3 linked regions of the Coturnix japonica genome follow. The protein of the gene in region 1 purifies or fractionates together with the protein of each later gene. This does not show direct contact. Links are inferred from orthologs where the notes say so. Each region holds a gene or a part of one and is shown on either strand. Other genes may lie near its edges. The genes, in order: AXIN1, HIPK2 and AMER1.

Region 1 (8,224 bases):
ACCAGCACTGTCCTTGGAGGCTCCTCTGTTCCTGGATTTGCCATCTTAGGAAGGAGGAGGGAAGCAGGAATAATGGGAAAGTTCAGCCAGATGCAGAGAGACCTCCCGTTCCACTGGGGCAGAGCTAATGCCGGCTCTGTGAAGTACATTAGGAGCTGCTCTGTGGTGAGAGGTTAGAGGCATCATCCTGCCTCAGTGTGGCTGAGTGGGTTCTGCACTCTGCAGTTATCAAGGAGCCCAGGCTTTGCAGTTCTGCCTTCCCAAGCCAGGGCTGGTGCCTTGAAACCACGACTGAATTTTTGCCTGTTTCACTTGTGGTTCCCAGCAAATCATGGACACTGATCTGAGAACTTGCTTGAGGTGAAGGCTGCATTCCTCCACCAACTGAGCCATTTAAATTAATGAATTCAATAGGATTTTACTTGTAAATTCCAAGCAAGTCCATCTGTGCTTTAATGGTCAGTAATGCTGTGGGAGCTCTTAACAAAAGCAGCAGTTCTGTGTTAGAGGGACAGAGATGGAGAAGTGGCAGCATCTCCGTGTGTGAGATGTTCAGAACAGCAGGGCCAGGCCCTGGGTAACCTGTTCCAGCATCTGTGGGCTGTGAGACCAGGCTGGGCCCAGCAGTGAGCCCTGCAGCCCTCCATCACAGAGCAGCTTCCTGCTCCTGCTGCCTCCTGGCTGCAGGGCTCAAGGCAGGGGATGGCTGCCTCCACCTGCGGCTGCTGTGTGGAGGACATGGCTGGGGCAGGAGGGCTGTGGGGCAGTGCAGGCTCTCTGAGGTCCATCCATGAGGGCTTTTGCTTCAGCGTGCTCTGCCATTCTACATGCATCTCCATCACTCACCTTCCCTAGGCAGCTGTTGCCATGGCAATGCTTTACGTGCTGCTGTTTCAGTCCAGCTAGAGCACAGGAGATGCCTTTGGGGAGATGGGAGCTCGTGCTCAGCCTGCAGGGCACCCTCAGGTGTCCCATCACTGTGGGCCCTGCAGGACCCATCGCCCTGGGGCTGGTGGTCCAAGGCAGAGGCAGCAGGGTGATGGGAAGCACCGGGAAGATGCAGCTCCTGCACTGTGGGCTCTTCCAAAGCCAAATCTGAGCTGTTGGATACAACCCCTGAGAGCACACAAAAGCACAGATGGGCAGGTAGAGCATCTGCCTCCCATCTTTAATACATCACATTGTGAGGCACAAGCAGTGCACCAGGCACTGGGGCTGAGCACGGCTGTGCTCCTGGCCCTGCCCTCACCACCTCCATATTATATTATATTATTCCATATTTGCTTTGTGCTTTGTTTCCTGAAGCAGCTCTACGTGATGGGGAGAAGCAGTGGGTCCCCGTGGGGATGTTCAGGGGGCTGGAAGGTGCCTCCTGTGGCAGCAGTGCTGGCAGTGTGGCATGGGGAGCTGCAGCGGGCACAGCAGGGCTGGTGTTGGCTATGGGCAGGCAGAGCTCTGGCTGCTCTAAGACAGGAGTTACTATGGGAACCGACAGAGGATGCTCAGAGGGTGCAGAGGGCAGAGATGCTGGTATGGCTTCGTGGTATTGGTACCTGCAGCCACGCACAGCATCAAGCCTTCAGTTGATGCCCATGCTTTGCTCAAAGCCACCTGTGGCCATGCAGTGAGCTGGCACCGAGCTGGGGCTGCAGCAGTGGGATCTGTGTGCGGCTCATTGCTCTGCTTGGTTCTCGGCTCTGCTGGGGCTGAGCTGCACGCTGAACCGGGGCCAGCAGCATCCTGCGTGCAGCTGGACGGAGTGTTTGTGTAAGCAGAGCCTGCCCGGCTGTACCAACAGCCGCCTGTTTGTCCATGTGTGGGTGGTGAGAGCCCTGACGTCAATGGCTGCCTTTCATCTCCCCCGCATGGCCAGGCTCCCCTTGAGCAGCAGGACGGCGTGCCCGACTCACCGGCACCGGCTGAGCTGTGCAGCAGCGCCTGCCCCACACAGCAGACAGGGCTGGGAGCATTGAAGGCATGGCTGCTCTCCTTGCTGCTCTGAGCCCATGCAGCAATGGTACAGGGACAGGTCTGAAACCTGGGGGGGTCCACAGCTACAAACAGGCTCCCCATCCGACCATGTGCATTTCCTTTTTGATTCTCAGTCAGATGATTCTCTCTTCTTCCCTGCATCCCATACACAGACGTCATTCCATGTGCCTACAAGGGCTGGGGGACACAGGGAAGAGGAAGGGAGCGGTGTTTTGCCCAGTTCTGCAGTGCCAGACCATCCCTACAGACCAGCATGTCCCCACAGCTGCAATCCCAATGCACTCCACACAGGGTGCCATGAGGTGCAGTTGCTCTCCATGCAGCTCCCCTTGTTGTGGGGCTGTTCAGAGAAGAGGAGAGGGAGGGAGACCTTACAGGGGAGACCTTACAGCTCTCCACACCCGAAAAGAGGCTGCAATGAGGTGGGAGTTGGGCTCTGCTTCTGGGTAACACTGATAGGATGAGAGGTGTTGGCCTCAAGCTGCGCCTGGGCACTTCAGCTTGAGTGTTAGGAAACGTTCCTTCTCCCATCCTCCCCATTGCTTCCCCAACTGGACAGAGCCATGTGAAGGTTGGCTGTGCTTTGGAGGAGCCCCAACACTGAGGAGCACAAGGATGATGATGATGAGGGCTGCACCGTGGTGCTGGTTAACCCTACATGGAGTCATTGTGCAGCTGGTGGGGAGCAGCTGGCCCGGGGGAGGCAGCGCTGTCTGCAACAGTGTTCAAAGAGTTTTGCTTAAGTGTTGCCGCTCTTCAGGGCTTCCTCCAAAAAATAAAAAAATAAATATATGTCTATATGTAAAAAGGGAGAGAAAAAGAAGATAAATCTTTCCATGCTGGATGAAAGCGGCCTGTCTTGACTATTTACCCAGCAATTATAAGTAAATCGGTGGTGCCTAAAGGGGCTGGTTGCCATAGTTACAATAGGATTGGAAGGACCATCATTTGGTCCTGGCCGCAGCCAATCAGGCTGAGAAGCCAAAGCTGCAATATAAAGTAAAGATTCCCATCTTCCAGCCACACAGTTGCCAAGAAAGGGAAATAGGTTCAAGAGTGTTGGAAAGTGCTCCGGACAGCAAGCAGGGCGGCTGCTCCCGTCATGGCGGACTGCGAAAACCCAGCCGGCGCGCGACGCAGCGGGGCAGGCAGGTGAGAAATCCCAACGCTCCCCATCTCCCCGCTCATTGTTCTCCTTCACCACGGCCCCCGCCGCCCCACCCCATCCGCGGCCACCACCGACCCCCTCACCCAGCCCCAAAACCCACAATGAAACCCCCCTTCGGGCGAGAGACAAAGAGATCCGTGCGGAAAAACGCTCCACCATTCTCCCCAAATTGTGATCGTAGGCCTTTCAAATCAAATTTCGCAAAGCAGCTTCATCAAAGGCCCCCAGCTGGGAGACACAAGCCCCATATTCCTGCCGCCCACACGGCCCCCCCAGGCCTTGGATGGTGCGACAATCGCACACAAAGTCAGCGCGGCTCGAGAAGTGTGTGTGCAAGAAAAGGGGGGAAGAAAAGAGAAAAAAGCGAGAGCGAGAAAGAGCGGTGCCTAAATTGATCATAGTCTCCAAATCTCATTACTCGAGACTTCTGAGGACGGATATTTCCAAAGGCTGCTATTAAAGACTTGTAAATGGAGCCCCTTTATGAGATCAAAGCCCAAGGGCCGGGCGCGGGGCGTGCGGTGGCTGTTGTGGCGGTGGCGGAGGGGCGAGCGGAGCCGCAGGATGCTGGGGGAGCCTTCCTCCCCTGCTGCTTCTGCCCTCCATGTTTCCAGTGTCGCTGCTGCTGCTGCGTGACCCATCTTGCAATGGATACTGCAAACGTGATGTCGGGCAGAGCCGAACACCGCCCCAGCTCCCGGAGATGGGCGAACTCCACCACCCGCAGCACCGGGGATGGAGAGAGAGTTCCCAAAGTCAAGCAGGTCCCTTCCAAAATGTCATAGTAATAAATGAGCTTATTCCAGTCGGGACCTCTCGGGACACCTTGGACTACAGATCATCTCACGGCGTGGGGCGCTGGCTCCATGGGGCCGTCCTGGCCTCGGGTCTTCTCCGTTGGGTCTCTTTTTCCTCCCCAAGTCGCGGCACCTCGCTGCCTTGCTGACCATGGGCAGAAGGGCCGAGGACAAAGGGAGGTGGACAGAAGTTGTACGACTTTCTCTTCCCACCGCCTCCCTTCAGATAAGATTTCTGTTGTCGGTGACACATTCAGCTCCGGGCAGCATTCCCAGCACCGGCACCACCAGCAGGCAGGCGCCCCATCATATTCATGGAAAGCAAACTCACAGATGGTAAAATAACAGAGTCGTGTAGGTTTCAAAGAGTCCTTCTATGTCAATTGTTATATTATTAGGTAAACTCTAAGAAGAAAATCTTTTAATCCACTGTGGCTAATCCAGTCCACTTTTGTTGGCCAGGACATATTCAGCATCAACAAAAGGCTCTGGCCGACGAACACCGGCATACATAATGTATTTATAACTCTGGGAGCTGGCTGGGCTGCTCCCAGAAAGAGACACTCCTCGGGCCCTCAGCAGGGGCCAGAGCAGAGGATTTGCCCGACTTTTATCAGTTTTATTTTCATTTCAAAGAACCCGACCGATATTTTCACTGTGTTGCTTACCAGGCGAGGCACGAAGAGGGCAGGGACGTTCCTGGCTCCAGCCAGTCCCTCAGCCCGGACCTGCTGGGATCTGCACCCTTCATCTCCCTCTGTGTCCTGGGCAGCACAGGGATGGCTGGGCTTGAGGAAATGCATCCATGCACCAGGCAGGGAGCATGGGGCCCTGAGGTGCCTGGAGTGCCGGGATGGAGGCGGATGGGACAGGGAGCAGCACCGTGCCTTCTGGGAGGATGGAGAGCTCCAGTGACACAGGCAGGTCTGTATATCCCGTATTTCACACCCAGCTCCTCTTCCATGTGCTGGAGACAGGGAGAGCTGCAGCAGTGCTCCAGGACAGGCTGTGGGGTGCTGTCCCCATGGGGATGGGCTGTGGGAGCAAAGGGGCCACCAGGAGGTGTTGGCTGGGCACTGCTAAGGTGGCTGCCCCCAGAACGGCAATCCTGGCGCCCTGGGATCTACATGGACTTTGCTTGGAAGGCATCATCACTCTGGGAATGGAGGGATCACCTTCCTGCAGGACAGGGGATATCAGTAATGCCATAGAACTGCTGCACCAAGCATGGGAAGGCTGGGAGGTGTGCAGGGCTGCCAGGAAGGGAGCTGGAGTGAGGCACAGGGACAGACTGTGTCCTCACACGATGGGGAAGCTGCTGCCATATGAAGATGCAAAGCCCAAGGTCTGCAAAGTTTGGTGTTGTGTATCCACCACCACGTTTCCTCGTGCTTCAGACAATTGTAACTGTAAGAATCAGGATGAAACATAACCTGAGGCCTGATTCACTCACATTTGTCTGCCCCGGGCTCTGCTGTCTCCTACAGCCCTGCCGGAGTCCAGCACAGGGGCCTTCTCCATCAACTTCTCCATCAACTCTTGTGCCCCATAATATGTCCCATGCAAACCAGAACTCACTCTGCCCTGCCTGAAAGGTGTGAAGCGGTGAGGAAAACCACTTTGAATGAGAAACAAGGGGCAGCCACCCACTGAAACATGGTCAGCACACGTTGCTTAGTGAAAACTCTTTGCTGGTTCACTCAGAACAACAGGAGTGCTGACCCTCCAGGGTGGGTGAGCCAGGAGCATGGGACAAGTACTTGTGCTCCAGGCTGAGCTGCTGATGGGCATCGTATCAAAGCATTCCGGTTGTAGGCTGTAGGACAGACATCAAGGCGTTGCCGAGTGCTGAGCTTGCTTTTGCCAGCTGGGCCAGTGACCACATCTAAGCCTAAGATCCTTCATAACATTGCGAAACAGATCCACAAGAGTGGAGCAACCGATATTTCCAGCAGCGCTCTTGACATCAGCTTTTCCTTACACCGCCAACCAACTGATCGGGATCATTGATGGATGGATAAAAGAGATGCACCTCTCGTGTCGGGATCAAACACCTTGAATGGGCATGGGCTGCTCTAGGGCAACCCTGACAGCAGGGCTCAGCTGTCCCAGTGCAGCATCACTGAGCTGTCAGCTCAGCCCTGTGCTCCTGCCTGAAGGTGGTGGCTGATACACACTCACCTTGTCCCATCCTGTTGTGGAGGCAGACAGCAGCCACAGCCCAGGAGCAGCAGCCACAAAGGGACAGCAAGCAAGGATCCCAGGATCCCAACCTCCTGGCCAGCCCTGGGGCATTCCTGTGTCCCTCACAGGGGACAAGCTGACATTTTTTCTCTCTGCAGAGCAGCAATGCTGGGACACACGGAGGCTGCATCCCATCCACGGCCACCCGAGAGGAGCACAGAGCATGGAGCAGCAGGCCTGGGGACACAGACCCGAGATGGATCCCACAGGTGGGTGTGGGAAGGTGTGACAGAATGGGATGTCACCTGGGGGTGCCCCCCTTTGCTGGCCACAGCAGCTTCTAATACGTACCATGTCCTGCTTTACATGGACAAGGTGGTCAAACCTGAGCAAAAACTGGGAGATCTGGGGACAGAAAGATGGGAAGAAAGCCCAGGAGTTACTACTCGAGGCAGTTAGTCCAGGGATGCATCGAGAAAAGCTCATCCAAACCAATGGGTGTTACTGCAGCCAAAGGCAAAGGAACCAGAGGTAGGAAAGCTGTTATTAGCCATTACTATTACTAGTTATTACTCTCACTACAGAGGTGTAGAAGCAAGCAGGAGAGAGCTGCCAGTGAGCTGCTGTGCTCTCCCTGGTCAGATAGGAGATTTTCTGGATTCCTGGTCCTCTGTGCAGCTTATTTAGCCAAAATTAGGGACTGTGGACTCGTGTGGTCTTTATAAAATAACAATAATAATAAGAAAGCAGTATCTGAGCAAAAAGGCTGGTGATAGGGGGAGAGTAACCCCAGGGCAGCATAGGGGTGGCCCAAACATTCACCCAGTGTGCATCACAAGGAGCCAGAGCTCAGCCCTGCCTGTGAGGAGGTGGCTGCTGCATAGAGTCCTGAACCCCATTTGGTCAGTGGTTTGTCTCCAGTTCTGTAACTGGGAGCCAAACTGGGCTGGAACAAGCGTTTTTCTGCCTCATCCCTTTTGCCCAGCACTGGAGGCAAATTCAAGCTGAGGAATTTGGGTGTGTTCATCTCTCCCAGGGCAGTGAATTGAAACAAGGTGGGATGCACAGGCACCCAGCAGAACCTGCACTGCGAGCCACGGGGTGAGAACCAGAGAGCAGCTCCTGCTGCACTGCAGATGCCTTTGGGGAACTTCAACTGTTAGTGATGGGCTCATAGCCCACATCTACCCTGACACAGCTGCATGGGGTATCCTCACTGTGCCAATGGGCAGGACTTCCAGCCCCCATCCCAGCTGTACACAGGCCCACTCCTCACCCTTTGCTCTCACATCAGCTGTGTCTGTGGCTCTGGGTGTTCTCCACATCACAGCAGTCAGCTGAGGTCTTTGGTGTGCCTGGCCCCAGTTCTGAGGTGACCCAGCTCCCTTTAGTGCCATGATACTGATATTTCTTTCTTGACAGCCAGCATGTCTTCCCCCTCCTGCTCTGTAGGTGTCATTTTGCCAGTGGTCCAGGAGCTAAAAATGTCCTCTCCCATCCATTTCTTGCATCCTTTAATCCTGTTTCTTAGCAGCCCTCTTTTCCAATGTTTATGCAGCCAAACCATCTCTTACCTCTTAAATGAATGGGCATGCATACAGGATGAGGTAAGCAGAGGAGAGCTGCTCCTCACCTCCAATAGGGATCATTTAAGATCTCTGTGTCCCGGTCTCTCAGGCTTTCCAGTCACCCAAGAGGCCCACAGGGCTTTCAGCTCAATCCTCAATGATCTCTGCTGGGAGCCCATGGTTCCCCCAACCCTTCTTATCAGGCAGCCCTGACCACCACACTCCACAGGCACCCACAACACAACCAAACAGGATCTGTGTCCCATATTTTTTTTTTATAAAACCTAAATTTGGGATCAGCTTTGACCTGCTTTGAGCCTTTTAAATTACAGCCAAAGGTTGAACAGCACCATCTAGTGCACTCTGTCCCAACAGTGCCTGAACTGGAGGGACACCGACCCTCACACTTGCACCAACCGTGGCAGGGCTCTGCCATTAGAAGTGTGCATGGCCTTTACCCTTTCAGACACAGGGGAAGCAAAGGAAGTCCTGGATGATCCCACAGTCTGATTCCT
Region 2 (8,124 bases), on another chromosome or scaffold:
TGACTCCTGGGAAACTGTGATAGAGAAAATCACCCATCCCAGTCAAGATTGAGTTAGTGCACAGTTCCACTTGTCCCACATTGATAGCAAGAGAGCATTCTCACATAGCAGTGTCTCTTGTGTGGCAAGGACCATTTTCTATTAGCAGCCCAGAGGACGTCTGGTAAGAGAAGCCATTTCCTGCTCACTCTTTCTTTGCTCCCTGTACGCGTTGTACTGAGATGTTTCCCCTGGATTCGAGATAACTTAAAAATATGAAATCATTTAATTCCTTAACACCTTTCAAATGTCTCTCCTGTACCCTCATGATAATATTGTGCTTATCAGCATCTGATGGACGTCTATGGGCTAGGGTGGAATATGTGGGTCTCCTAGAACTTAGTTTTTCAGAAGAACTAAACACTGTAATTTAAATGGATATCAGTGAATGCCTTTAGACTTCTCTTAAAATCAGACCCCCATCCCTAGCAATGCTGTGTATGACCAATGCTGTATCTTCTGTGCTTATGAAACAGGGTTACAAGCTTCCCCTTCGAAGCATGCTGGGTATTCAGTTCGGATGGAGAATGCTGTTCCCATTGTCACTCAGGCTCCTGGGGCTCAGCCTCTTCAGATCCAGCCAGGACTCCTCGCACAGGTAATGAGCTCTGAAGACACCAAACACAGAGCAGGTTATTTTGTGTGCTATTTAGCACTTGGAAGCTGGAGAGTGTAGCTTTCTCTGAGGGCCTTCTGTGCTGTAGTTTGGAGAAATGGGCAGCCATAAAAAGTCACCAGCTTTATCTGAAATGCTCATACCTTACCCAGTTCATTGTCCTGTTACGTCAGAGTTGCAAAAGACTCTGGAAAGACTATCTATTCTTCTCCATTGAGACCAGTGGAGATCTCAAGGGAAGCTGTGTCAGGACTCTGCTGAGGAGGAATTGGTAGGAACCTTCCTGGATTCTCCTGAACTTGCAGTCTCAGCAGCAGTTTGTTGCAGTTGTGCTGGTGAATTGCATGCTGCTGAAAAACATCCCCTATGTTTTTAATTTTGCAGCTTTTTATGAATTGTATCTGTGTTCTTAAGTCTTGGGAGTGATGTAGTTGGCAGAGGCAAGGATCTGACAACCAAGGAGCTCACACTGTCAGCAGTACCTATTGGCACAGTTGGCCAAAGTACTCTCACAGAAAAGGCATGGTTCTTCCCAGCAAGAACAAATGGGAATGAGAACTACTTATCACAGAATTGTAGGGGTTGGAAGGGACCTCTAGAGATCATCAAGTCGAACCCCCCTGCCAAAGCAGGCTCCCTACACCATGTCACACAGGTAGGCGTCCAGACGGGTCTTGAATATCTCCAGAGAAGGAGACTCCACCACCTCCCTGGGCAGCCTGTTCCAGTGCTCCGTCACCCTCACTGTCTGTTGGTGCAATTACTCTTCTTCAGCAGCAACCACACTTATCTGATGAAGACAAATCAAAGCACAACTTGCAGCCTCAGTGATTTCAATTAGCTAACAAGACGTACTCATTCCCAATATTAGAGTCCCTTTTACTGGGCTGTCTGACATGAGCCTGCTCAAACACTGAATATATCCCAGTTGAAGCCTGTGGTAACAGCCTGTGTGGGCCATCTCTCTTGTCTGGTGGAAAAGGAGGGCCTAAGAGGTGACAGGAAGAGGAATAATCACAAAGTGAATGCTTCTCTGCAGGTGAAATTGCAGGTACCTGTTGCAGTGTTGGTGTACAGGGATGAGGGTCTTATCTGAACCATGCTGAAGCCGATAGGATCTTAAAAGACCTTGGGTCCTGCAGTTCCTCTTTTCTTCTCAAGGTGGCCTCTCTCAGGTCACCACTTTGTGGCAGTGAGTGCTCTGAAGAAGCTTTGATCCATATGGCTGTCCTGTCCCATTTACAAGAACTCTGGTTTCATGGACTGCCCTCAGCTATTTTCTATTGACATTTTTTGCACTGCTACTTTGATATGGCTTATTTGAGCTGTTTCTGAAAAATACTCCTCACTTACATAGATTTTATTTTTGATTTAATAGAAGAGAGGCAGTCTCTGTCAGCTGATATATCTGTCTGTCTCACATGATGAGAAACATTAGCTTCTGCTCCGACAGGGAGGCTCTCTGATAGACACTGGTGGCATCTGGTGTCCGCTGGCCTTGCTCGGTTCGAGCTGAGCAGCTGGTCTCATAAACAAATCTGTACCCAATTCCAGTTTCCTGAATGGAAAAACACAGCTCCTTTGTAATGCATTGTAGTCACATCTGATCTTTGGATGACCGTGTGTCTCTCTGAGCTGTGAGCTGTTCCTCTCATGCACAGCTGGTTATCAAACGCCGTTCAGGCCAGACTGTCCGAACTCCAACTGCTAGAGGGGCTGTCCCCAGCAAAGAGCCTGCTGCCTCCTGAGCAAGTTTGTCCAAATACTGTATGCACACAGGCTGTTGAAAATGGGCTGATCCCATCTTTACAAGTATCTCTGTACAACTTCAGATTTCAAAAGGGACAAAGCCATACAGTCCTCTGTCAGACTTATGTGACGTGACCCAGAACCGTTCTCTGTCCTTGGATAGTGCCCTGAATGCTTGAATTTCTCACATTTTAACTCCATCCCAGCAATATTTCTTCCCATAGAAGTCCTGCTTCCAGCTTTCAGAGCAAACACGTTTATTCCATTAGTTGTTCTTGTTTACACCACAGGTGGGAATTTAGTTGCACCAGGGGCTGCACCACCTCCAGGGAGCAGAGGCCAGCACCGCACTCTGACACAACAGCACAATTTCAAAGTAATGCAATAACTGAGAACAGATTGAGGCTGCAGGCACGAGCCTCCCATGTGTAAGCACAGCATGCTGTGCTGGTGGATCAGCCTAGACAAGTCTTATCTGCAGATTAAATGATTCAGTGGTCCTTACCTAATAAGTGAGGAATTTATGCCTGGACCCTGACACTGAATCTAAATTTATGCTCTGCAGGAGGAAAAGGAGTTTGCATTTGTTCAGTTCTCCTCCTTAAAAAAGGGAGGAAATCAGTTTTCTCTGCAAGTAAATCCTGGTAGCCCCTTGGGAACGAGCACAACAGTAGTTGAGTCTCATCTTTTAATTCAAAGCTGGTTAAAAATAAATAAATAAATAATGAAATTTCCTACCTGATCTTTTACCTTTTCACTACCTTCTCCTAACTACTCTGACCTGCACCAGACCACGGCTGCAGCTGCTTAAATGAAAAGCTCTCAAGACCCCTGTGACAATCTGTCTTTTGCAGATGTTGCTAAGAGGCCTCATAAGAGCAGCCTTTTCATCTGGCATGACACAATTAAGATGATTAAAATTTGGAGCAGAACTAGGAAAAGTTTCATCTTTATACTGAGGGTGGCAGAGGGTGATTGGGGTACAGGTTACAGGATGTTTGTGGGGATGGAGATGGGGGTGAACGTATGCCTGGATGAAGTCTCCCTTCTTTAAAATGTAGCCTCCACAGGGCTGTGAGATTACATAACATGGGCCTATGGAGGGTTGCGTTCCCCATCCTAAGCAGTACACAACAAAGTTTCCCTCTAAAGGAATCACAGTGTGACCAAGCCAAAAAATGATTTGATTCATGTGGAGTCGGTGGAGTGGGACGACCTGAGGGATGACGGCATAGCAGAGCGATGACTCGATTTACAGGGCAGAGATCTCCACCCTGCAAGGGGGGCACTTGCTGAGAAAAAGCCAGAGAGCGTATGAAGGGAACAGACATGCGATGTGCAGCTATGTACAGCTCCCCTCTACTTTGACCAAGGCTCATGGGTAGCTGGACTAGGCAGCAAGATGTCCCTGCTGTGTAGAACCCCCAGACTCCTTCCCCTCTTTGTGAAAGCCTTCAGCCTCTTGTTCTTTGTCCTGATCCCTGAAATTCTTTCTCCTTTTAAGCTGCTTTACGTTCCTGAAGTCCTTTAGGGTCTGTTGAGGTCAGAAGGAAAATTGGCTGGAGGCAGGGAGAAGTCCCATTTAATAAGACCGTAACTCCCAGTTGATCTGAATAGTCAAAATTAAAAAGTGCTAATCTGTTGGAACTTCCGATTGAAATGCAGGCCAGTTTCAGTCTCTCCCATTCCAAGTTTAACCTGACACACAGCTGCTGCTTTGGAAGTCTTTTGTGCTCTCTATATTGATAACTTTACTGCTTCCTAAAAGTATTCACAATCTATGACTGAAAGGCACCAAGCACTAGGTAAGATGACCACAGTTATTACAAGGAGCCCCAGCTGGGTGGGGGTGATTGTTTATATGCCGTTTATGATGACTCTTATTAAGAAACACTTTTTCCTCTGGCCAACAGCAAGCATGGCCCAGTGGCACACAGCAGATCCTGCTCCCTCCTGCCTGGCAGCAGCTGACTGGGGTGGCCACCCACACTTCTGTCCAGCACGCGACCGTCATCCCTGAGTCCATGGCAGGCACCCAGCCACTGGCAGACTGGAGGTAAATCGCTGGCACATGGAGAATGTGTGTACATGCCCATGGGACAGCCAGCACATGTGTGATGATGGCCTTTGGGCTGGGGCAGTGGCCACCATCCCCCAAGCCCAGCACCATGCCCACTTCCTTGGGGGGAAAACAGTCTTTCCTGGGGATAAACTGTGGCACCGAAGAGCCCCAAGAATAGAACCTCAGTGCAGGTGATGGGGTGAAAGCCTGCTGGGGAGCCGCCGGTCGTATTTTAAACATGTCCCTGTCTTCTCCCCTTTGCAGAAACACCCACGCTCACGGCAGCCATTACAATCCCATCATGCAGCAGCCCGCGCTGTTAGCCAGCCATGTGACTCTCCCCGCAGCCCAGCCCGTCAATGTGGGTGTTGCTCACGTCATGCGCCAGCCGCCCGCCACCACCACCTCCACCAGGAAGAGTAAGCAGCACCAGTCGGCGCCTCGGTGAGTGAGCCCGGCCCCACCGCTGGCCTTGGTGGGCCCGAAATGCAGGCGTGCTGATAGGAGTCAGGTATCCAGAAGCCTATGGGGCAAAATAAAGCTTGTTCCACTGCCCGTGAGTTTTTGTGAGTGGACTGTCTGCTGCTTCATTAAGGGGCAGTCGGGTGTGTTTTATAGCCAGCAAACACCATGTGGCATGGTGGGGATGCAGGACAGGAGGCTCAGGCCTTGCTCATACAGGTCGTTATGCTGCTGTGGGGCAGTGCACCTTCAGGAGCAGGTTCCTGATGTCTGCATGTAAGATCCATCCCTTTAGAAGCAGATAAATGATAATCACAAAATCGTAGGATGTGGGAGGGAGCTCTGGAGTTAATTTTGGATATCTCCAGAGAAGAAGATTCCACAGCCTCTCTGGGCAGCCTGTTCCAAATCTAAGTTAGATACACTGAAGGGCACTGAGGTGGCTGTGGGCCACCTTTAAGCTCTCTGTCTTCTAACACAGCAGCTAGAGGAGCAACAGATACCCGCATCGATCTTTTCCTAATCAGGGCAGCATCAAGCAGGGAGCATTTGGTAAAGGCACTTCACGCAGGAACGTTCCTTAGATGCTGGGATCTATTAAATCTAGGTAGGAGCATTTGGTTCTGCAAGAGGAAAGTTGAGCATTCCTTCATGGTGTTTGGTGCAGCTGAAATGGTGGGATGACTGCGGTGCCTGTCACAGCCCTGCAGTCCTTCTTACAGGACGGGGCTGCTGAAGACGTATGTGCAACTGTCCTGGGGAAAGTGCTCTGGACTGTGAGAATGGCTCCTCTACTGAGATACATTTCATTTTCAGAAAAGAAAAAAAAAAAGAAAAAGAAAAAAAAAAAAAAAAAAAAAAAAAAAAAAAAAAAAAAAAAAAAAAAAAAAAAAAAGAAAAAACGAGCCATAAGTGCAGAGAAGAGAACTAAAATGGGTCACTACAGTGGCAAAAACAGAGGAGCTTGTGGTTTTCCTGGGTGACTGGACTCAGGCCAGAGGAGCTCGGAGTTCACAACCAATTTTCCTTCTAGTTAAGAGGCCGCTATTTAAATCCTTCCCATTTATCTGCTCTCTAATGTTGCATTTACTTTGGGTGAGCTCCAGCTGTCTTAGTCCATTCGTAATGTAGAGCAGAGGCAGCTCTGTCCCCAGCAAGCCTGTAAAAGAGAGCGCCTGTTGCAACAAGCATGTCTGCGCAGGGCCTCCCCTCTCCCACCCCTCTGCAGGAGCAGGGTGCCCATGTTGGGGAGGAATTGGACACTTGCAGAGCAACGGCTTTCTAGGGCTGTACATTGTCTTTAATTGTGATGATTTTGTAGCCAAATGAGGAACGTGCTCCTTTGGAAAGAAGGGTACTCCATTCCGCTCATTGGTATTCAGAAAGCACTGCAAATGCTACCGTGCAGTCATTTGTTATGCAAAAGACCCTGTGTAAGTTGGTATAGCGTGATATGTCCATAATGACTTCCTTTTGACAGATGCCACCTATTCTTTTTGTTAGCTTTTAGGCCACACTGCAAATGCAACCCACATCTCACTGTAGAACAAAGCGAGAACTTTGTGTTGCATCTGCGAATGCTCTGCAATAAGCAGAATAAACTATAACATTTTAAAAAATATAAGAAAATAACGAGGTGGGTTTTGGTCAGTAAATACATCTGCAGACCTGTGCCGTGCTGTTTTCTGTGCTGAGATCTCCAATCCATAGAGCTGTTTACAACTTTCAGACAGGGAAGCTGAAGTAGGAAGATGGGGGAAAATCGAGGGCTTGAGCATTATTTTCAATGCATAACAAAAAGATTGTTCTTTTTCTTCCTGACCGATGGGTGCTGTATCTGCATCCTCACATGGGAATGACTTGAAACTGAGTGTGTGCTTTCCCATCTGGGTATTCTGACACTCTCATCCTCATCTGGAGGATGAAGCATTGGGCAGGAAATGTTAACTGAAAACATTCTTAAATGGCAAATTAGATTTTCAAGTAAGTAAAGCGGTTTTCCTGATAAGTGATCGCTGTTTTCCACAATAAATTCTAATTTTACCTTAAGCTTTTTTCTGGACAGAAAAAAAAACAAAAGCACAGATTGGTCATGATGCATACATACAGTTCACCAGGTATGGGAGAAAGGGATTATCCTTTGGGTTCTTTCTCCTTGTGTGACAGCCATGCAGTGCCGGCCTGTGTTTTGTATGTCTGGGCTTTGTGACCAGCCTCTATTCCCAGCCTAAACTGTAGGCAGGGACTCCTGGGAGGCAGTATTTCTCATCTGGAAATGTATGTGGAAAACAAAATTGAGGGGTGTTTTACTTAAAAGAAGTACTTTTCAGCCAATTATAAGAATAAGCCATGTGAGGCACTCTGACCTTTGGAAAGGTGATGGTGCTGATTTTGCAGTTTTCCCAGACTCCATAAGTCAGCGTGAGAGAATGAGAGGCTGGGAGTCAAAAGCCACAGCAACTGAGCAAGCTGAGATTTAACCAACTAACAGCCTTTCCCATTTCCAGAAATGCATCCACCTACGAAGTTTCGTCCTCTCAGTCCATCAGCTCGCCTCAGCGGTCGAAACGAGTGAAAGAAAACACGCCTCCTCGCTGTGCCATGGTGCACAACAGCCCTGCCTGCAGCACTGCCGTCACCTGCGGCTGGGGTGACGTGGCCACCAGCACCACACGGGAGCGGCAGCGGCAGCCCATAATCATTCCCGACACCCCCAGCCCCGCAGTGAGCGTCATCACTATCAGCAGCGACACCGATGAAGAGGAGGAGCAGAAGCATGCACCCACCAGGTGAGCAGCAGCTCTGCTCTTCTCTCTGCGGGTGAGAAAAAGAGGCAGAGGAGTGCTGTAAGGTCCCAGCAGTTATGGCTGGGTCTTTAGTTTGGGAGGAAAGGTGATGGAGGAGCTAAGGTTCTAGCAGAGGTCTTTGCAGACCTAGCTGATGTTCCCTGTCATTCTGTACGTTTGCTGTGGACTTCGGAGAAGTGTCAGAGTCTCTCTGGGCCTTAGTTTCTTTTCTCTAAGAGGAAATAATAGTTTTCTCTCTTTTGAAGGGCTGTTCAAAGGAGCTTTTAGAAGATCTACATTAATGAGCCCTTCAAGTCAGATAGCTGTTTAAAACAAAGACAGTAAGAAAGGTTTGGAAGGAAAGTAGCTCGAAACGGCCTTTTCTCTCTAAGCAAACCAAGCAGAGCATT
Region 3 (8,224 bases), on another chromosome or scaffold:
GTGTTCTGTGGAAGCCAGTGCTACAGTGGGCTGTCCTGGGTCACAGCAGGGACTCAAAACGGAGTCGTTCCCTGCAATTTCAGCAAGAAAACAGTGAAGTAAATTAAGTTTGTGCCTTGTTAGAGCGAATACCCCTCGTCAAGCAACCTGCACCTGTCTGAATCTCCCCCCCTTGCTGCCCCTCTCTATATTTACCCAGTGGGAACTTTCCAAGAATGGAAGTGGGAAGATAAATGCCTGTGGGGGCTAAATTTAGCCCAGGCTCCCTGGCCCTGCTCCCTGTGGTGGCATTTCAGCTGTGAGCTTTGACAGCCTGCGCCCTTCCAGCTCCACAGAGTGGATGTCCATCCCTGATAGAGTGAGAGCTTCTCTTTCTCTTCCCCCTCCCCTTTTTTTTAATTAAACCAAGAAAGAATTCTCCATGGGACCACGTCTGCTTTGATTGTCTTGGGTGTGAGCATCACTTCTCCCACAGAGGTAAGGCAATAGTGTAACAGTGCATGGGCAGCTTGGGGTAATTGGAGGTAATTTGATAGCCAGAACTTTAACAGTGTGAGTATGAACTCTGTTCTTTTTGTCTCTTTTAGCACTAGCCGTAGCCTCTTTTCTGGGTCCACAGGTGATGAATGATTTCCTTTAGCTCAGGACAGCTCTGGTTTTGTCCCTTTGGATCTGGACTAATAACCCTAATGCCCCAGGTCTTCAAACTCCCCCTCCCCACACACTATTAGAGGCGTTGATTGGGTGATTCAAAGTCCCAGTGCTTGGTATTAGTGTGTCTAACCAATAACAGCAATGTATATTTCTACTTATTTCTACAGAAATGGATTGGCTTGATTTAACAGGTGGAAGTACAACAGAGCTTTGCTTTCATCAGCTGCCGTCCAACTTGCTCTACTTAACCCAAAAATAGAGCTGCTGAGGTGACTTGGCACTGGGGAGCTCTCGGCGCTCACAGCTCTTCTTTATCCAAGGCTGATGTGGGACACATCTCCTGTGGCTTTTCCTTGCTACCAGCAGATGCGCATTTGCAGAACAGGGCTAATTGCTCAGCGCAGCTCTGCTGTATCAAGGTGGGGGAGATGGAGCCTCTCCTGTGGGAAACCTCAGCTACTGCAGGGCTGAGATGCTACCAGAAATTCTCCTGTCCTTGGCAGGCAGCGTTTCCATTGCATCCTTCTGTGCTGGTGCCACCCTGCCATAGGGCCAGGCCTTGCAAATCCCCAGGCTTTGGCCCTGGCTTGGGTGTAGCACTCTCAGGTGCCCCCCTCCATTTTCCTTGCATGGCTGATGGAAAATCCTCGGTCCTTCTACTTTGAAATTCAATCCCTTTAAAGCTCAACTGGGTGTAAAAAAAAAAATTGAGTGCTTGTTTGTGTGTGTGCTCTTGAGCAAAATCCAGTAAAGCTGTCACCTCCTGGATCATCTCAGTATTCCATAGATATCAGGATATTCAGAAATGCAGGTGAAACTGTTTGCAGTGCTGCTCAATATGAAGCAGAATAAATTCTATTGTTCCACGTGGTCTTTCTTCCAGCACTTATGGGGCACAGCTGGATGGGGAGGTTTCTGAGGGAAAATGGGCAGTTTTATTTACCAGCCGGTAAATCTGCTTCTCACCTTTGTTGTTGTCCCATAGACAGCAGGTTTTACTGCTTACAATGAAAGTGGTGCTCAGAAGACAGACCAAAAAAATGAGCTTAATGGACATCAATAAGATTTTCTCCATGCTCCAACCCAGAGAAGATGAAGATCATGGAGAAAGTGAGGAGCTGAACCAAGTGGTGTCCGTGGACGATTACCAAACTCTTGACAAGCTCTTGCACCAAGACAGGTACAAGAGAGTCATCAATAGCAGGAGTGGCTGGGGCGTTCCCAGCACCCCACTGCGCCTGGCTGCCTCTAAGGGCCACCTCAGGAGCCTGAAGGTCCTCCTGTCTCATGGGGCAGAGGTGGACAGCCTGGATGTGAAGGCACAAACCCCGCTTTTCACAGCAGTCAGCAATGGCCACTTGGGCTGTGTGAAAGCACTGCTGGAGGCAGGAGCCGGTCCCTCTGGCAGCATCTACAACAACTGCTCACCGCTGCTGACCGCAGCTAGGGATGGGAACGTTGAGATTCTGCAGCAGCTCCTGGAACACGGTGCTGAGACCAATGTCCAAGCAAGGGTGCCTGAGTGGGCTGCCAACTCCACTGCTTGCTCCGGTCCGCTTTACCTCGCAGCTGTCTATGGGCACTTGGAATGCTTCAGGTTGCTGCTGCTCTATGGTGCCGATCCCAACTACAACTGCACGGATGAGAGGATGATCGCGCGCATCAAGGAGCCCAAGACTCTGCTGGAGATCTGCCTGAGGCACAGCTGCCGGCGTGAGTTCATCAAGCTGCTTCTTGACTTCGGAGCCAATGTGTATTTGCCAAACATCAAGAAGATAGCACCTGGTAGCGAGGGCCTAGATCTGCTGTTGCAGGCAAGAGGTAACCTGTGTGTGTGTGTGGCCCCAGGGCTTATTTGGGGGCGAGTTGCTTCAGATCACCCTTCACTTTATCTTTGTTTCCCCTTAGAGAGGGGAGAGATCAGCCTAAGCAAGGTTTTCTTGCAAGCTTTGACCCTCTTTGCAGCTTTGGTTGAGAGAATGAGTCTCTCTGGTGTTAAAGTCTTGAATATTATCATTCTTTTACTCTGAACACTTGGTTTAGGTGCATCAGTTCTCCCTTTGACACCACGCAAGCTGGAGGAGAAGCAGGGTTGCGCATCCTGAAGGTCTGCAGTGACGGTCATGTTTTTCATTCCTTTTCTTTCCACAGCTCATCCCAAATCCCTGATGTCTCAGTCTAGGCTGGTGCTGAGGCACATCCTGAAGCAGGCTGGCTGTGCACACGCCCTCAGAGAGCTGGACATTCCACCAGTGCTGGTGAGCTACCTCCAACATCAGCCTTAGCAGGGACACACCATGGAAGACGCCTACCCCAGAGAGATGCCCAGTGCCTGAATTAAAAGCTCTGACGCTGCTGTTGCACAGCACAAAACAGATGTGAATTTGTGGTATAAACAGGGTTTTTTTGGGCTTTTTATTTGCTTCCAGAGTGTCTCTGAAACCTGTATGGAAAGATTATTGTTAGTGTGGATTTCCACAGCAGGTGAGCTGTGTCTGTGGGGCTGGGGAGATGGGGGACACCACTCCCATGCAGATAATGAGTGTCATAATGGGTGCTCTGCTCATCCGGAATAAAATTGAATATTTGAATGGGCGAAAAACGTAATTTTCCACAGTAATCACACCAAACAAGTACCAGCTGGTGGCCCTTGTGCCAGCTGCACATCTTTATTAATTACCGGACCTTTTGTGAGCAGGAGCGGGGCTGGAGCCTGCGGTGCTACGAGCAGATCATCAGCTGCTCCATCCGCTCGCTCTGCCTTTCGGAGCCGTCTCCTTATGGTTCTGGTCCGCGGCTGGTCCTAAGGCCGGGCTCTGTGGGGGTAGCGGCCTTTCTCCCCGCCCCCGCCGTGTCACAGAGTCCGCCCGCCCCGTCACGGCCCGGCCCCGCCGCCACACCCGGCTCGGCCCCGCCGCTCTGCTTGGCGCCGCCCCGTCCGTCCCGGCGGCGGGCAGGGCCGTACAGCACCGTGCCGTACAGCACCGCGCCGTGCCTCCGCCGAGCCCCGACCGCGGCCCAGCGCGTCGGTAAGTGCGGCCGGAGCGCGGCGGGGCGGCCTTTGTGGCGGCGGGCAGGCCGCAGAGCCCGGGGCCTGGCTGCAGCCCGGCGTGGTGGTGGTGGGACGCGGAGCTGCTCGGGCCGGGACCGTCCCGGGTGCGTGGGGCGGCGTGTCCGTGGGACGGGGACTGAGGTGGGGCTGTGCCGGGGGCCGCGTCTGAGAGCGGGGCTGGAGCGGGCCGTGCTGCTGCTGGGCTCGGCGAGCCCCCCGTGCTCCCGTCCTCGCCTTTCCTCTGACTGTTTCCACACACGGGCACAACAGGCCCGGCTTCGTGCCCCTGTATTTCCATCTTTCCGTCCTCCTGCAGAGCCGAGCGCGCTGAAAGGCTCCCAGAGGTGGCAGCACAGCGAGGAATGGTTGGGGTTCTCTGCTCATAGGGATGGATGGCCCCATGGGTTTTCTGAGGTCCTCAGGCAGGCTGTGGATAAGGGCTTAGCAGCGGGGTGTGTTGTGTTGTCAGATGTGGACCTGCGTTCTTGGCTGTCTTTCTCCTCATCCAGCATGTCCCAGTGGATGCAGTGCTGGTGCCCTGTCTTATAAGAACCAGGTATCTGCAAGCCGCAGATAGAAAACTGACCTGTCACGTGGCGTTTTGTAAGACTGAAATAATTGCATTTTAAGGCCGGTTTGTGTTGGAGCTGCTGAGCAGTGCTGCTGTTAACGACAAACCCCTGACGCCAAAGGCCTTCCAACCAAAATCGGGTGGCTTTGCGTTTGTCTTGGGCGCGTCTCTTTCCCTTGTGTTTGTCATCATCTTTCTCTCCAGGCTTCTGTCCTTCACATCCAGAAGCTGAACGCTGTGTGCCATGAGGTGATGGAGAACAGCAGGGACAGAAGCATGTGCAGATCCAAGCACCCAGACAGCTGGGCTGGAGCTGGGAGAGAGACTCAGGAATGCCTCCGTGGGAGGGCTCTGCCTTCTAATTCAATAGCAGCCTTAATGGAGGCGTTGTGAGCTCCTCAGGCGGAGCTGTTAAACTTACACTCGTCTTGTTAAAGCATTCACTTGCGTGTTTTTTTTTCATGTGGTTACTACTGGCAGTTGTGGCGGCTGTGATCTCGGTGGAGGCTGTGTGAGGGGAAGGCACTGCGCTCCCAGCTCATCCCGAGCTCTGCACCTCTATTGCTGTGGTAGTGTGGGTCGGCTTTGGGCAAGCTCAAGTCCTGCAGCAAGGTGAGGTCGTAGTGAGCTGAGGGGGCTGCTGCTTTGGTAGCTGCCCATCTTTCTCCTTAAAAACAAGGCCCTGTCGCACACATAAGTTCATTGTGTCCACCTAAGCTGTAACATTTGGCCCACCATAGGACCCAGCCTGTCACAAGAAAGTGTGTAAATACAGCACGCTAATTACACCCTGCTGGGGGTAAGGGTCAGCACGTCCTGCTGTGGATGTGGTCACACCAGGAGGAATGGCTGGGGACACAGCGCTGGCTCCAGGCACTAAGATACGTGCCCATGTGGTGCTGTAATTATTGCAGCGAAAAACAACTGAAGAAAATCACAGCTCTGAGTTTTACAACTATAAACTATAAAGCTGCTAAATCAGGCCTCGGGATTGAAACTTTGAAGTGCTGGGGTTGTCTTTGTTTCTGAGACAGAATGACATTAATACGTGGCTTCCCAACAAAACGGTTTCTGTCGCACGCTGTTTGTACTGGAACAAAAATCGTTAGCACAACAGTTTATTTGAGGATAGAAGCAGCACGTTTTAGCAGTTCCCTGCCTGTCGGTATTGACAGCTGCAATAACATCCCTCTGTAAACTGAGGAATTAATGGCATGAATATGCAGGAGTGTCCTGGAAAAGGCTGCTGCTTGTTTGTAGGCAAAGCTTGGAGAAATGAGATGGAGCGAAGTTTCCACGGGTGGCTCAGAGCATGTTGTATAGGGAGAGTTTGGAGGGTTCGCTCGGCCTAGGGAATAAGAACTGCACATAAGGATGAGGATGCAGTGGGTTGGAAGCTGTAGAAGGAAAAAGCAGCAAGTAACATGTAAGATAAAGGATGTGTAAAATGGCCGCGGATAAAACTACATTGGAAAATGGAAGATGGTTTTGATTCTCGGGGCTTTTGGCTTCTGGGGCAGGCTCAGAGTGGGATCAGTGGGGAAGCATTGCACAGCTTGTACCTGTCCCACTGCAGAGTCACAGCGAGTTCCCTGCACCTCAGCTGAGACCCTTCTGAGGATGGTGGAAGGATCTCTTTTGTCTGTATGTGAGTTCAGAATGTGGTGAGATGCTGCTTGAACACTCCATGTTACGTGAAGATGTGGGGAGCAGACATGCATCCTGCCATGCTGCTGCGCTGTGTTCTCCCACCCACTGCTCTGACTGGTATCAGATGCCTCCTGCTGCACAGGGCTTCATGTGCATCTCTGTGCCTTTGTCTCCATCGCTCTGCACCATTGTATGGGCAGTGAGACAGATGGGGCTTGTTCCCATTCAGAGCTGGGACCCGGCCGGTGTGACCTGCTGTTAGTGAGGCGTGCAGCCATTCTGGGTGTCCTGTGGGACGCAGCCCTTGTGACACTGCAGCCAGCTTTGCTCTGCACATCTTTGCATTTGCAGCATGGGGTAACCGTGCCGTGTTCCCCAGAGAGAAGGGAGAAAGAACGTGGTGTCATGGCCTGCTGGAGGTGCTTCCCAGATTGCTGCTGGGGAAAGTGGTGTAAAGATGAGAGCAACCTGTGAGTTAGAGAGAGGGGATGCTTCATCTGCCACCAGCCCTCCAAGCAGCGTTTGGGCAGTTATCCTGGATTAGAGAAATCCGTGCTCTTGCTGTGACTGCTTCTGCATCCTAATCCTGGTGACAAGACAGAAGCTCCCCTGTGAGTTGGGTAAGTCCCTTAATTTAATGCCCGGTCTCCCATTTGTAACATCGGGATGATACGCCTGGTTCCTTGATGAGAATTAATTGATCGTAGCTTGTCTTTGCTGATGCCTGTGAGAATTAATTGATCGCGCTCGAGTGTCCGCCTCCCATTCTGACAGCTGTACTGCCCGTGTGCTCCCACCCGTCCACGTGTGAGCTGCAGGAGAGGGTATCGTTTTGTTGCACAAGGGTTCAGTGCTTCTTGCTTCTCTATTCTGATGTGGAGGAAGAGAAAGCAGCATCTGGCTGAACGCTGCCTAATGTTGTGGTGTTTCTTTGCAGTCAGACATTTTCATGGCAGTCGTCAGGGTCTGAGAGGATTTGTGCAGAGCCCAGCTGTGCAGCTCCTCTGTAGAGCAGGGAATGGGTGTGTGCTGTGGGGCTGTCCCCACTGTGGATGAGGGTAGCGATGTGCCGTGCTCTGCATTAGGGGTCAGGGGGGGATTCTGGGAGGCTCTGGCCCTGCTGAAAGTCATACAGGCAGGGAAGAGTTGGGTGAGTCCATCGATGGCTGTCGGTCACTCACACCAGCTAATCTCTGGTGCAGCACAAAGAAGGGATTTAGCAGCCTGCTTACCGTAGGCAGTGTCAGTCTGCATAAAGGAGAAAGGCTTGATGAGCTGCCTAAGGCCTGTGGTCGGTTTAGGGGATAAAACAGGGACGTTTTCCCAAGTCTTTTAGGTGCAGGCTGTGAGATTCTCATCCTCCACCTCATTTCTGTTTTTGTTGAATGCTGAGGTAGTTATGACTTGTCATGGATGCTCTTAAGAGTCTTGAGATCCCAACTGAGGACAAAGCAGGCCTCTACTTTAGCTGCTGCTGGGGAGGATGGAAGTTGCCCCTAGTATAGAAGCATAGCATCCCAGTAGAGCAGCATGTTGGCTGAGGTGCTTTGTCCTGATTGTACACTAACAGAGCCCCAAGCTCTGGCCCAGGTCAACCTGTTGGCACCGGCTGCAGTTTCGGACATGCCCTTCTTCTACCTGTAGCTAGAGCAGAAAGCTGCATCACCCCAAGTATAACCAGATCTACCTCATCTCCCCTGGCTGCCTCAGGGAGCTGGGCACAGGTGAAGTGCTGTCATTTACTGTTATGATTTGTAGGTTTGTTTCTGACCCCGTTTTATTTCCGTCGATACTGGTGTTTGCCCTTGGTGACTGTATTGTTCTGGCATCCATAAATAGCTGTGTGGTCACAGCAGTGAGCATCTACTGATGCCAGTGCTGATGTGGAGCCAGAGTGGGCTTATTTTCAAATTGAAGTCTTGTTCCTGTTTCATTTTTCTACTACTTTAGCATTTCACATATATAGACATTTGCGTACTATTTTCTATTGGTCCTATCTAAATAGTTCTCTCTGGAAAGGCTCCAGAAGAATCCTGGAGTCACCCCAGAAAGGCTTTGGGTGTGCAGAAATGCTGTTTGTTAGAGCTTGAGAAGCACTGTTTGGCCCCTGGGATGCCCTGGGGTGGCCCTGGAAGCCTCAGAGAAAGGGCAGACTGTACTGTCAGGGGTGTGTAAGGTGGTTAAATCCACCTCTGTCAGTGATGGCTGTAAATACATCCCCTTGTCTCCAGCCTCCCAGGTAAGAGCTGGTCATGCAGCGAGGTCCCAGCTGTGCATCCTGCTGGCTGCTGTCAGGG

What was found.
Region 2: the proteins of AXIN1 (region 1) and HIPK2 purify together in Homo sapiens (affinity purification with western blotting; 3 studies listed by BioGRID). This does not show direct contact. The link is inferred for Coturnix japonica from reciprocal best matches to the Homo sapiens genes AXIN1 and HIPK2.
Region 3: the proteins of AXIN1 (region 1) and AMER1 purify together in Homo sapiens (affinity purification with mass spectrometry; 4 studies listed by BioGRID and IntAct, with this or other methods). This does not show direct contact. The link is inferred for Coturnix japonica from reciprocal best matches to the Homo sapiens genes AXIN1 and AMER1.

What each region holds. Positions count from the first base shown.
Region 1 is NC_029529.1:10,741,216-10,749,439, forward strand, and holds the start of AXIN1 (axin-1), read left to right. Parts: upstream 1-3,031; 5' UTR 3,032-3,144; intron 3,145-6,299; 5' UTR 6,300-6,410; intron 6,411-8,224. UniProt on the Homo sapiens protein: Component of the beta-catenin destruction complex required for regulating CTNNB1 levels through phosphorylation and ubiquitination, and modulating Wnt-signaling.
Region 2 is NC_029516.1:56,134,137-56,142,260, reverse strand, and holds part of HIPK2 (homeodomain-interacting protein kinase 2), read left to right. Parts: intron 1-515; coding exon 516-637; intron 638-4,317; coding exon 4,318-4,460; intron 4,461-4,730; coding exon 4,731-4,910; intron 4,911-7,435; coding exon 7,436-7,717; intron 7,718-8,124.
Region 3 is NC_029519.1:11,110,392-11,118,615, forward strand, and holds the start of AMER1 (APC membrane recruitment protein 1), read left to right. Parts: upstream 1-3,526; 5' UTR 3,527-3,683; intron 3,684-3,736; exon of another isoform or gene 3,737-3,810; intron 3,811-4,757; 5' UTR 4,758-4,889; intron 4,890-6,524; exon of another isoform or gene 6,525-6,547; intron 6,548-8,224. Other genes in the region: ASB12 (ankyrin repeat and SOCS box protein 12), read left to right, coding at 1,662-2,475, 2,806-2,939. UniProt on the Homo sapiens protein: Regulator of the canonical Wnt signaling pathway.